Canis lupus familiaris: one gene and its partner. The protein of the gene in region 2 purifies or fractionates together with the protein of the main gene of each other region. This does not show direct contact. Links are inferred from orthologs where the notes say so. Each region holds a gene or a part of one and is shown on either strand. Other genes may lie near its edges.

Region 1 (4,213 bases), on a different chromosome or scaffold from region 2:
TTCAGTGTTTATGTTCCTCCATCCTTTCGAGTTGTGAGGGTGAAAAGATAAAAAGACAGGACATGAAAAAGGACAAAGCAAGGACAGATATGTGAAATGTGATATAGCAGAATACAGTACTGGACTGGGGATTTAGGAAAACTGGGCACTATTCCTAACTCTGTCCGTCTGTGGCCAGAGGTAACTTATTACACATCTATAAAAGATAAGAATTTCTAAGATCCTTTCCCAAAATGAAACTACATGATCTTACAACTGCCAACACTATGTACTTATGACTCATCCCCAAAGCTTAATGCCCAGAAAATTTTAAATTAAGACTATTTCTGGGTTTTAAAAAATCCCTAAGGAATCTCAGAGACCTCTCCTCACATAAATAACAGAGAACTCCAAAACAAATGTTTATCATGCAAATAAATTATTTTAGGAAGATTTCCACATTATGATGAACTCGGTGTGATTCACAGGCATGTTTCCTATGTCTTATGTTTCTATGAATTACCTAATAGAAATAAAATACAAACATTCCAGAAAGTGGACTATCCAAGTCTCTTATTCTCATTCCCAAGGCAAACACATGGCAATAACTCAGAAAGTTAAACCACAAAACCAACTATATTTGACATGTTTCTTCTGTCTTGAGGAAAGTAAAACTCAATTTCATTTTAAAGATTTAGATCTTTTCAAGTCTCTTAACATTTTCCCCTAAAGTTTTACCCTAAGTAAACTTGAGTACCTCCCAGCCAGCCAAATTCAAGATTCTCTGTTATCTTATTTCCATTACTAACCTGGCTTATTAAATTTCTGCTTCCCTCTTATTATCTCATTTTTTTTCTGTAAAAAATGAGATATGCTTACTCAAAAATGCTTTTAAGACTTTCTCCCTTCCCCAAATACATTTTAAAGTACATACCTCCAAGTGATACCAAAGGTTGGTCTAGGAGAAGGATAAGGCCATATGTCCAAGGCAGGTTTTGCATTGTAATTAAAATAAGGGACTTCTCGGATTCCTCCTTTCCTGGCCAACTTTTTTAAGTCATCATTAGGTAAAACAAATATGCTCTTCTTGCTGCTCTTGGTGACAAACTTTCTATACGATGGCAGAGCTGTACCTGAACGAGTCTTCTTGGGTCTTGAAAATTTCATGAGTTTCACTTTATCTCTTGTGGAATACTCTTTGCTCACGGTCATAGATGTCACTAGAGTGCCCCCTGCAGTGGTCAGCGAATCTGTCACTGTTGTGGTGACCACAGTTTTGCTCTGCTCCTTCACAGAGATGATGTCCACACTGCTGCCTGTGGAGGGTGTGGATAGCTTTGTGACTGTTGTAGTGGTGGTTGTGACAGTGGACTTGGCACAATTTTCTGTGGAAGAGACCACAGTCTGCTTATCCCCTTTTGCTACTTTGATTACAGTTTTTGATTCTGTGGCCACCGTGGATGTCATGGTGGTGACTTCTGTGATAACTGTTTTTCTCTTAGACTCTCCGTTGATATTTTCATCTCTGTTGGTGGGCAGACCATTTTCATCAACGAAATCATTACTGAGGTTAGATTCCTCTCCAGAAGTAATAGGTGAGGGAGTAACTTTCTTAACTTCTGAGGTTTCAATTTCCATATCTTCTACCTGATTTGTTGAACTGTTTTCTGGACAAGACAGTGGAGGCATGGTCTCAGACTCTTTGGTTGATGGCAGGGTGTCTAGGCCATCTTGGTAGTCGCATGCAGCATCTGAAGATCTCAGTAAACGTGATTTTGTTTCCAAGTTGTTTTTTTCATTAAAATCTTCCATGATGACATCGCCATTCATGAATGGCTTTACAGCAGATTCTTTAACAGTCAATGACTTAATATCATTTTCAGGAATTATTTTATTTATATTATTAAGCTTTGATTCAAGATCACCACTTGCTACTTTACTCGCAGAGATTTCTTTCAAGGATTCCCCTTTTAAATATGTTTTGGGTTTATTATCTTTTCCATTTATTTGATAAGTACTTGCTTTCTGTCCTTTCTTTTCAGACTCTCTATTTTCATTATTCTTTCTGTCAGTGCTACTTTTTAGATTGATTTGATCAATACATTTATTAACTGATCTCTCCTCTAATTTCTGTTCTTGACTTGGCTTCCTACCATTTGCTTCAGTTACCTTACCCTGTGGTCTCTTATAGTTGCTAGTGGACTTATCTGGAACAAACTCACGTTTCAATGGTTCCAAGCCTTCAATACCTTGTTCTTGAGTTACAAATTGCTCAGAAAGACTTTCATTGCTATTCTGAACAATCATATCTTCTTCACTGCTGTCCTGAATAGACATAGTATCAGAACTATTTTCCAAAGTGCTGTTATATTCAGAGATACATCCTAGTTTTCCTTCAAAGTCTACTGCTTTTGACAGAGATGGGGGATCTCTATCATCAGTACTTTTAGGTACTGATGGAAGTGAAGGGCTCTGGGAAGGAGAAACAATGGTGTCATTATCCTCCTGTATGAGTGTTTTTTTGTTCTTATAGATCAAAGTACCAATTCCATCTGCACTGGCTAGTTTGGAGTCATCAATGAGAAAGTCACTTCCTCTTGTTTTAACCTTATTAAGTTCCTGGCCTTGACTGGTAGGTTGAGAGAGACTCTCATTTATGTCATTTCCAACAGAATTCTGTTTCTGACAGTTTGTCTCTGGGCTCTGAATGGAGATGTCATCTAACATTTGCTCTTTTGGATAAAGTCTGTTTGTTGTATGATCAGGATCATTGATTCTAAGAATTGAGGAATCGCTTTGTGAACATCCTCGAATCACATCTTCAGTTTTACCATTACTTGTGTTAGGGCTTTGTTCTTGTCTAAGCGAGTCACTTTGACACCCTTCTTTTGCTTTTGTTATTACTGATGATTCAGAAAGGCTTTTCAAAGAACTTGTACACGTCTTCCCTATACCCTTAATTCCACCCTCCAACTTCATTTTCTCAAGGCGCTGTTTTTCTTCCAGTGTAAACTGTTTAACTCTCCTTTCAAGAAGTCCATCTAGTTTGGATGATTTAATTTTCTTTTTATAACTAGTCCTTAGATGGAAGCCCTCACTGACATTGACCACATCTACTTGAGAACCTTCCTGACAGTTTATATGCGGCTCTGTTTTCACATCATCATCTATCTCCATTGGTTCTTCCTTAAAGGGTTTCTCATTGTCAGAATCTAAAATTTCTTGTACATCTGTGAAACAAACACATTTATGTAAGTGCTAACTTTTAGTCTCAAATGTGGAATTCACAATATTTTTATTTTAAAAACCACCAATGTTTATTTTCATTTCACTCACGGGGCTTCAGTGTAAATATACATATTTGAAAGCTCCTGATACATGATTAAGATAGGTCAATGGACAGGGCTAAACTTTATAAAAGGTTAAAAAACAGACATTTTGTAAATATTTAAATACTCTGATTCTTAGTATCTGAAGTTGGAATGTTAAAAGAAAAATTACTTAGCATGTGACAGTTACCCCATACTCCAGTACCTTCATGGAAAATTTTATGTAAGATATTTCATAGTCATAAAATATCTTAAGGCTTATACATTATCTAGCTTACCTAGTTTTTAAAGAATGACTTTTCACAAAAGACAGTATAAGTTCCTCAGAAGGCTGGACACAGAGTTATTAGCTCATGACCTGGGATTCCACTACTAGGTCTTTACCCAAGAGGGATGAAAACATATGTCTACATAAGAACTTGTACAAGGATGTCCTTATCAGTATTCATAATAGCCAAAAAGTAGAAACAACCCAAAAGTCCATCAATTGATGAATGGATAAACAAAATGTGGCACGTCCATACAATGGACTATTATTCAGAACTAAAAAGGAATGATAAAATGCTGACATATGCTATAACATGGGTGAATCCTGAAAACATTACACCAAGTCACAAAAGACCATGTATTACGTGATTCCATTCATACAGAATATCCAAAATAGGGCCAATCCATAGAGACAGTAAGTAGACTAGTAGGCTGGGGGGATTTAGGGAGGATTAGAAACTGGGTACTAAGGAGTATGAAGTTTATTTTTGGGGTGGTGAAAATGTTCTAAAATGGACTGTGGTGACAGCTGAACAGCTCTGTGAAATACTAAAAACCACTGTACATTCTAAATGGGTTAGTTATATAGTAAATGAGCTGTGATTCAATAAAGCTGCTATTAAAGAAACATAAGGCAG
Region 2 (4,213 bases):
AATAAAATGAAAGCATAATTATTCAATGACCTATTCTTATTTTCTTGGCAATAGCCAGTTAGCTGGGGTGAAAAAAAAAAAAAAAAAAAAAAACTATGCCATTTTAAAAAAGAGGACATTTTCTTTCCAACTCAGTTTTTTAAAAACACAAAAAAAATACAGCCCTAAAACTTGTGGCAAAATTTAGCTTATCAAAACATAACTCAGAATAATAAAACCTGAACTCCCCAAATAGCACTCCAAAAACCTGAGAATATTTTTTAATCTATTAAAATGATTTAAAAATTACCTGAGTATTCAATAACTTCTTCTGGAGTTTTCCCTTCTACTTCTCTTGCTATATTTTCAATATCATCACGACCCCACTTCTCATTAGCTTTGATAAACTGGTTAAAATCTCTCTTATTCCAATTGGTAAATCCCTTCAAAGCAATGGAAACAAAACATATAATAACAGCAGAGTGAACATGGGTAAAATGCTATTTCACTTACGAGTATGTCTGAAGTATTAGAAAATTTTCAATTACTCCTAGATTTTAAGTTATTTTAAAGTGGTAATTTTTCATACACATAGATCTGTATTTTTAGCAATATATCACATATTGTTTACATAACCAAGCAATTAAATCTGAGTGGAAGAGAGGAATGCTTTGTGAAAAAGAGATTTTGTGAGAAAGTGATTTTGCGGTATTTTGAAGGATAAGCAGGAGTTTGCAAAGAGCAATAAACATACACTAAAGAGCAAAGAAATAACAATTAGGAAAGTGGAAGAAAAATAAAGCTTCAAAAGTACGTTAAGGCCAGATTCTAAAAGATCCTGATTAAACCCTAAAGGTTGTTAAACAAAAAAGTACCAAAAAGAGACTTGTAATTGAGAACAGTAACTTAGTACCAATGTGGAAGATTCACAGGAAAAGAAAATGAATACTGGAAGAAACGTAATAAAAAACATATCCACTGTAAGGCTTGCGCAAATCTATACTCTTTCTCTACTTCAACAACTAGTGACAATCAAACTGTAGCATACACCCATATGGCTCATGCTTTATCATCTTCAATTACTTACTTTTTGAAAGACAAAACATGTACTTCTCTGTGTACCCCAACATACCTAAGCATAGTACCCTTACAAAGTAATGGTTACACTAAATTTTATGTTGAATAAAGACTATATATACCTGTGTTAGAAGTTTCTCTTTTTCCTCTAACTCTTCATCATTAAGGGGTTCAGCTTCATCAATTTTAAGCTGTTCTTCTTTTTGTGCCTGTGCTGCATTTGGTAGGTCAGGATTTCGAGGCACCTAAAAAAATATTTGTTTATATCATCCATCAGTAGATTTTAGAAAGTATGTGATGAATTCTTTTTTTTTTTTTTTTAAGATTTTAATTTTATTTATTTATTCATGAGAGACACAGAGAGAGAGAGAGAGAGAGGCAGAGACACAGGCAGAGGGAGAAGCAGGCTCCATGCAAGGAGCCCGATGTGGGACTCGATCCCGGGTCTCCAGGATCACACCCTGGGCTGCAGGCGGAGCCAAACCGCTGCGCCACCGGGGCTGCCCTAAATTCTTAACCAACCAAATAACGTTTTACAAGTTTTAATCCAACCGTGAAAAAAAAAAAAAAAAACTTGATATACCCTCCATTTACTAAATTAAGAACAAAACCAGGTTAGTTATGAACAAAATGTTATTTCCATTACCTTGTACCCAATTGTTTTTCTGTAATACAGAATTTCTTTTTCCAATAATTCAAATAAACGTGGAGGAAAGAACTGGAAATCCTGAACATTAGGTTGTTTTGGAGGCCGAGGAGCCTAGAGAAAAAAAAAAAACAAAACACAGTATTACCCATAAAAAAAAAAGTTTTGCTTTGATTTTAATTGTAACTTCCTCTCTCAAAACTTATGATGGCTAATTCTCCAAGCAACTGAATTTATCATTAATAGTGAACATTAATCAAACTTTAAATGCATATACTTACAACTAATTTTTAAGAAAACTTTTTAATGAAAACTGATGGAAATACACTGTAAGAAGCCACAGAAGATTTTAATTCTCAATCTAACTTTAATATTAAGAATATAAGAAAAATATTTACAATTCTAGTATTTTTGGATATTTTATTGCTCCATCAACTCACCTTGGGTGCTTTAGGTTCGCTGACACGAAGAGCTTCCCTAAAATAGGCATCGACAGCATAGTTGGCTTTTCTTTCTCGTTTAGGTGGTTCAATCCACTCTGTGAATGCAATCTAGCATACAGGAAACAATGCAAATCACCAACTTTGACTGTTTACAGTCACAAATCTTAGATGAATGCAATTCATACTGTGTATACATCATTACAACTGTTATTTGTAAGTGGCAAGATATTCATAAAATCCTGGACCATTGGCTCTTCAAGGATAAGGGACTATACTTTGCTCAAAACTATGTAATTAATACACTGCACAGTACATGGTGAATAGCAAAGATATACTTAAGTATTTCTTGACCAAATGGAGAACATTTTATCTGGTGAGGAGGAGGAAGGACCAGACCTACAGAAAATGCTATAACTCAAACTAGGAGAAAAATATAGATATGTATTTAGCCTAGAACAAATCCAGAGGATATACAAAGCTTAAATGTTAACAGAAAAAACATTGAGTAGAACTATTTTTCTTCCAACTTGTATTTTCTAATTTCACTATATATTAACAAATATTACTTAAGAAATTACGAAGTTTTTCCCCTTTAATCACTACCAGCCAATTATGTCTTTTAAAAAAAATCTAGTAAGGTTATGTTAATTCTGCCAATTATTTGTTTTCAAAGATTCTAAATTATAATCACCCCTACAATATATTTCAACTCTAACAGTGTATATAGTAAGCCTCATTACATAAGCTTTTAAAACATTTCAGAGATTACTAACTGAAAATTTGATATTACATGTAAAAATGAAAATAATTTAGATGTGAATATATAAAAATGACTGCTTGGAGACAAATTTACAAGGTGTTACAGCTAACACTTAAAATCGCAAGTTTTAAGTAAAGTAAGGCCTTCAAGTAACCAAAATAGCTTTCTCAAGTTACCTTTTGTTTTTCTCTATAATCCTCTCCTTCAAAGTTATAAACACTCGACTCTGTATCCATTGTAAAGTTTCTAAGTGAGCTTTCACCCATTTTGGAGAGCTTTTCATTCATCTCTGCAGTCTAGGGGTAAAAAACCACTTTATTATATTGAGAATTAAAAACAAAACAAAAAAAAACCTTGAGAACTGTAGTCAAAATAAGTTAGGCTCTGCAGTACACAAAAACTCCTTTTTATGGCTCACATACGTATTTCCTCAAACAGTTCTGATTTAAAAGATTTTATATTAAAAACATAATCATTTAATCTACACCTCACCTTCTTTGCACCTCTTTCCAAGATACCATCAATATCCTCATCAGTAATCTCACTTTCTTTTGAAGCAAATACATGTGTTGCCCCATGTCTAATCATTTGAAGCATTTCATCTTTCCCAATTTTGTTCAGATTCTGATCCACAAGTCTTCCTGGAAAAAAAAAAATGTTGTATAATGTTAATCAAGGTTGTTTTGAAACTTGGAATTTTAAATGTTAGATGTAATACCATGTATTTTGCCTCAAATATTAATCATGTTTATTCACTGCCGATAATTCTGATTCTCACATAAAAATATGCCACTCTTAGTTGTAAACTTTGAAATATCCTGTTAATCCATCATTACATAATGAAACCTACTGCATACCATATCTCAATAAAAAGTATTCTTTTTTTAAAAAAAAAGATTTTATTTATTCATTCATTCAGAGAGAACGAGAGAGAGGCAGAGACACAGGCAGAGGGAGAAGCAGGCTCCATGCAGGAAGCCCGACGTGGGACTCGATCCCGGGTCTCCAGGATCACACCCCAGGCTGCAGGCGGCGCCAAACCGCTGCACCACCGGGGCTGCCCAATAAAAAGTATTCTTATATGGGCTGAATAGTATCATGCTGGAATATTTGAAAATCACAATTAGCAAGTTTTTTTTTTAAATATCAAGAGATCAAATCATAATCACAAGAAGTTCTGATAAGCAGAAAGACATTAATACTAGTACTCCCCAATCAGCTTTTTCTTCGAAAAGTGAAGTGGGGGAAAAAAGGTAACGTGTAAAAAAAAAAAAAAAAAAAAAAAAAAAAAACCTTCATATTGCCAAA

The links.
Region 1: the proteins of SMARCA5 (region 2) and BPTF purify together in Homo sapiens (affinity purification with mass spectrometry; 4 studies listed by BioGRID and IntAct, with this or other methods). This does not show direct contact. The link is inferred for Canis lupus familiaris from reciprocal best matches to the Homo sapiens genes SMARCA5 and BPTF.

What each region holds. Positions count from the first base shown.
Region 1 is NC_049230.1:14,279,654-14,283,866, reverse strand, and holds part of BPTF (nucleosome-remodeling factor subunit BPTF), read right to left. Parts: intron 3,210-4,213; coding exon 914-3,209; intron 1-913. UniProt on the Homo sapiens protein: Regulatory subunit of the ATP-dependent NURF-1 and NURF-5 ISWI chromatin remodeling complexes, which form ordered nucleosome arrays on chromatin and facilitate access to DNA during DNA-templated processes such as DNA replication, transcription, and repair.
Region 2 is NC_049236.1:43,053,786-43,057,998, reverse strand, and holds part of SMARCA5 (SWI/SNF-related matrix-associated actin-dependent regulator of chromatin subfamily A member 5), read right to left. Parts: intron 3,547-4,213; coding exon 3,398-3,546; intron 3,202-3,397; coding exon 3,082-3,201; intron 2,254-3,081; coding exon 2,143-2,253; intron 1,817-2,142; coding exon 1,703-1,816; intron 1,302-1,702; coding exon 1,179-1,301; intron 423-1,178; coding exon 290-422; intron 1-289. UniProt on the Homo sapiens protein: ATPase that possesses intrinsic ATP-dependent nucleosome-remodeling activity.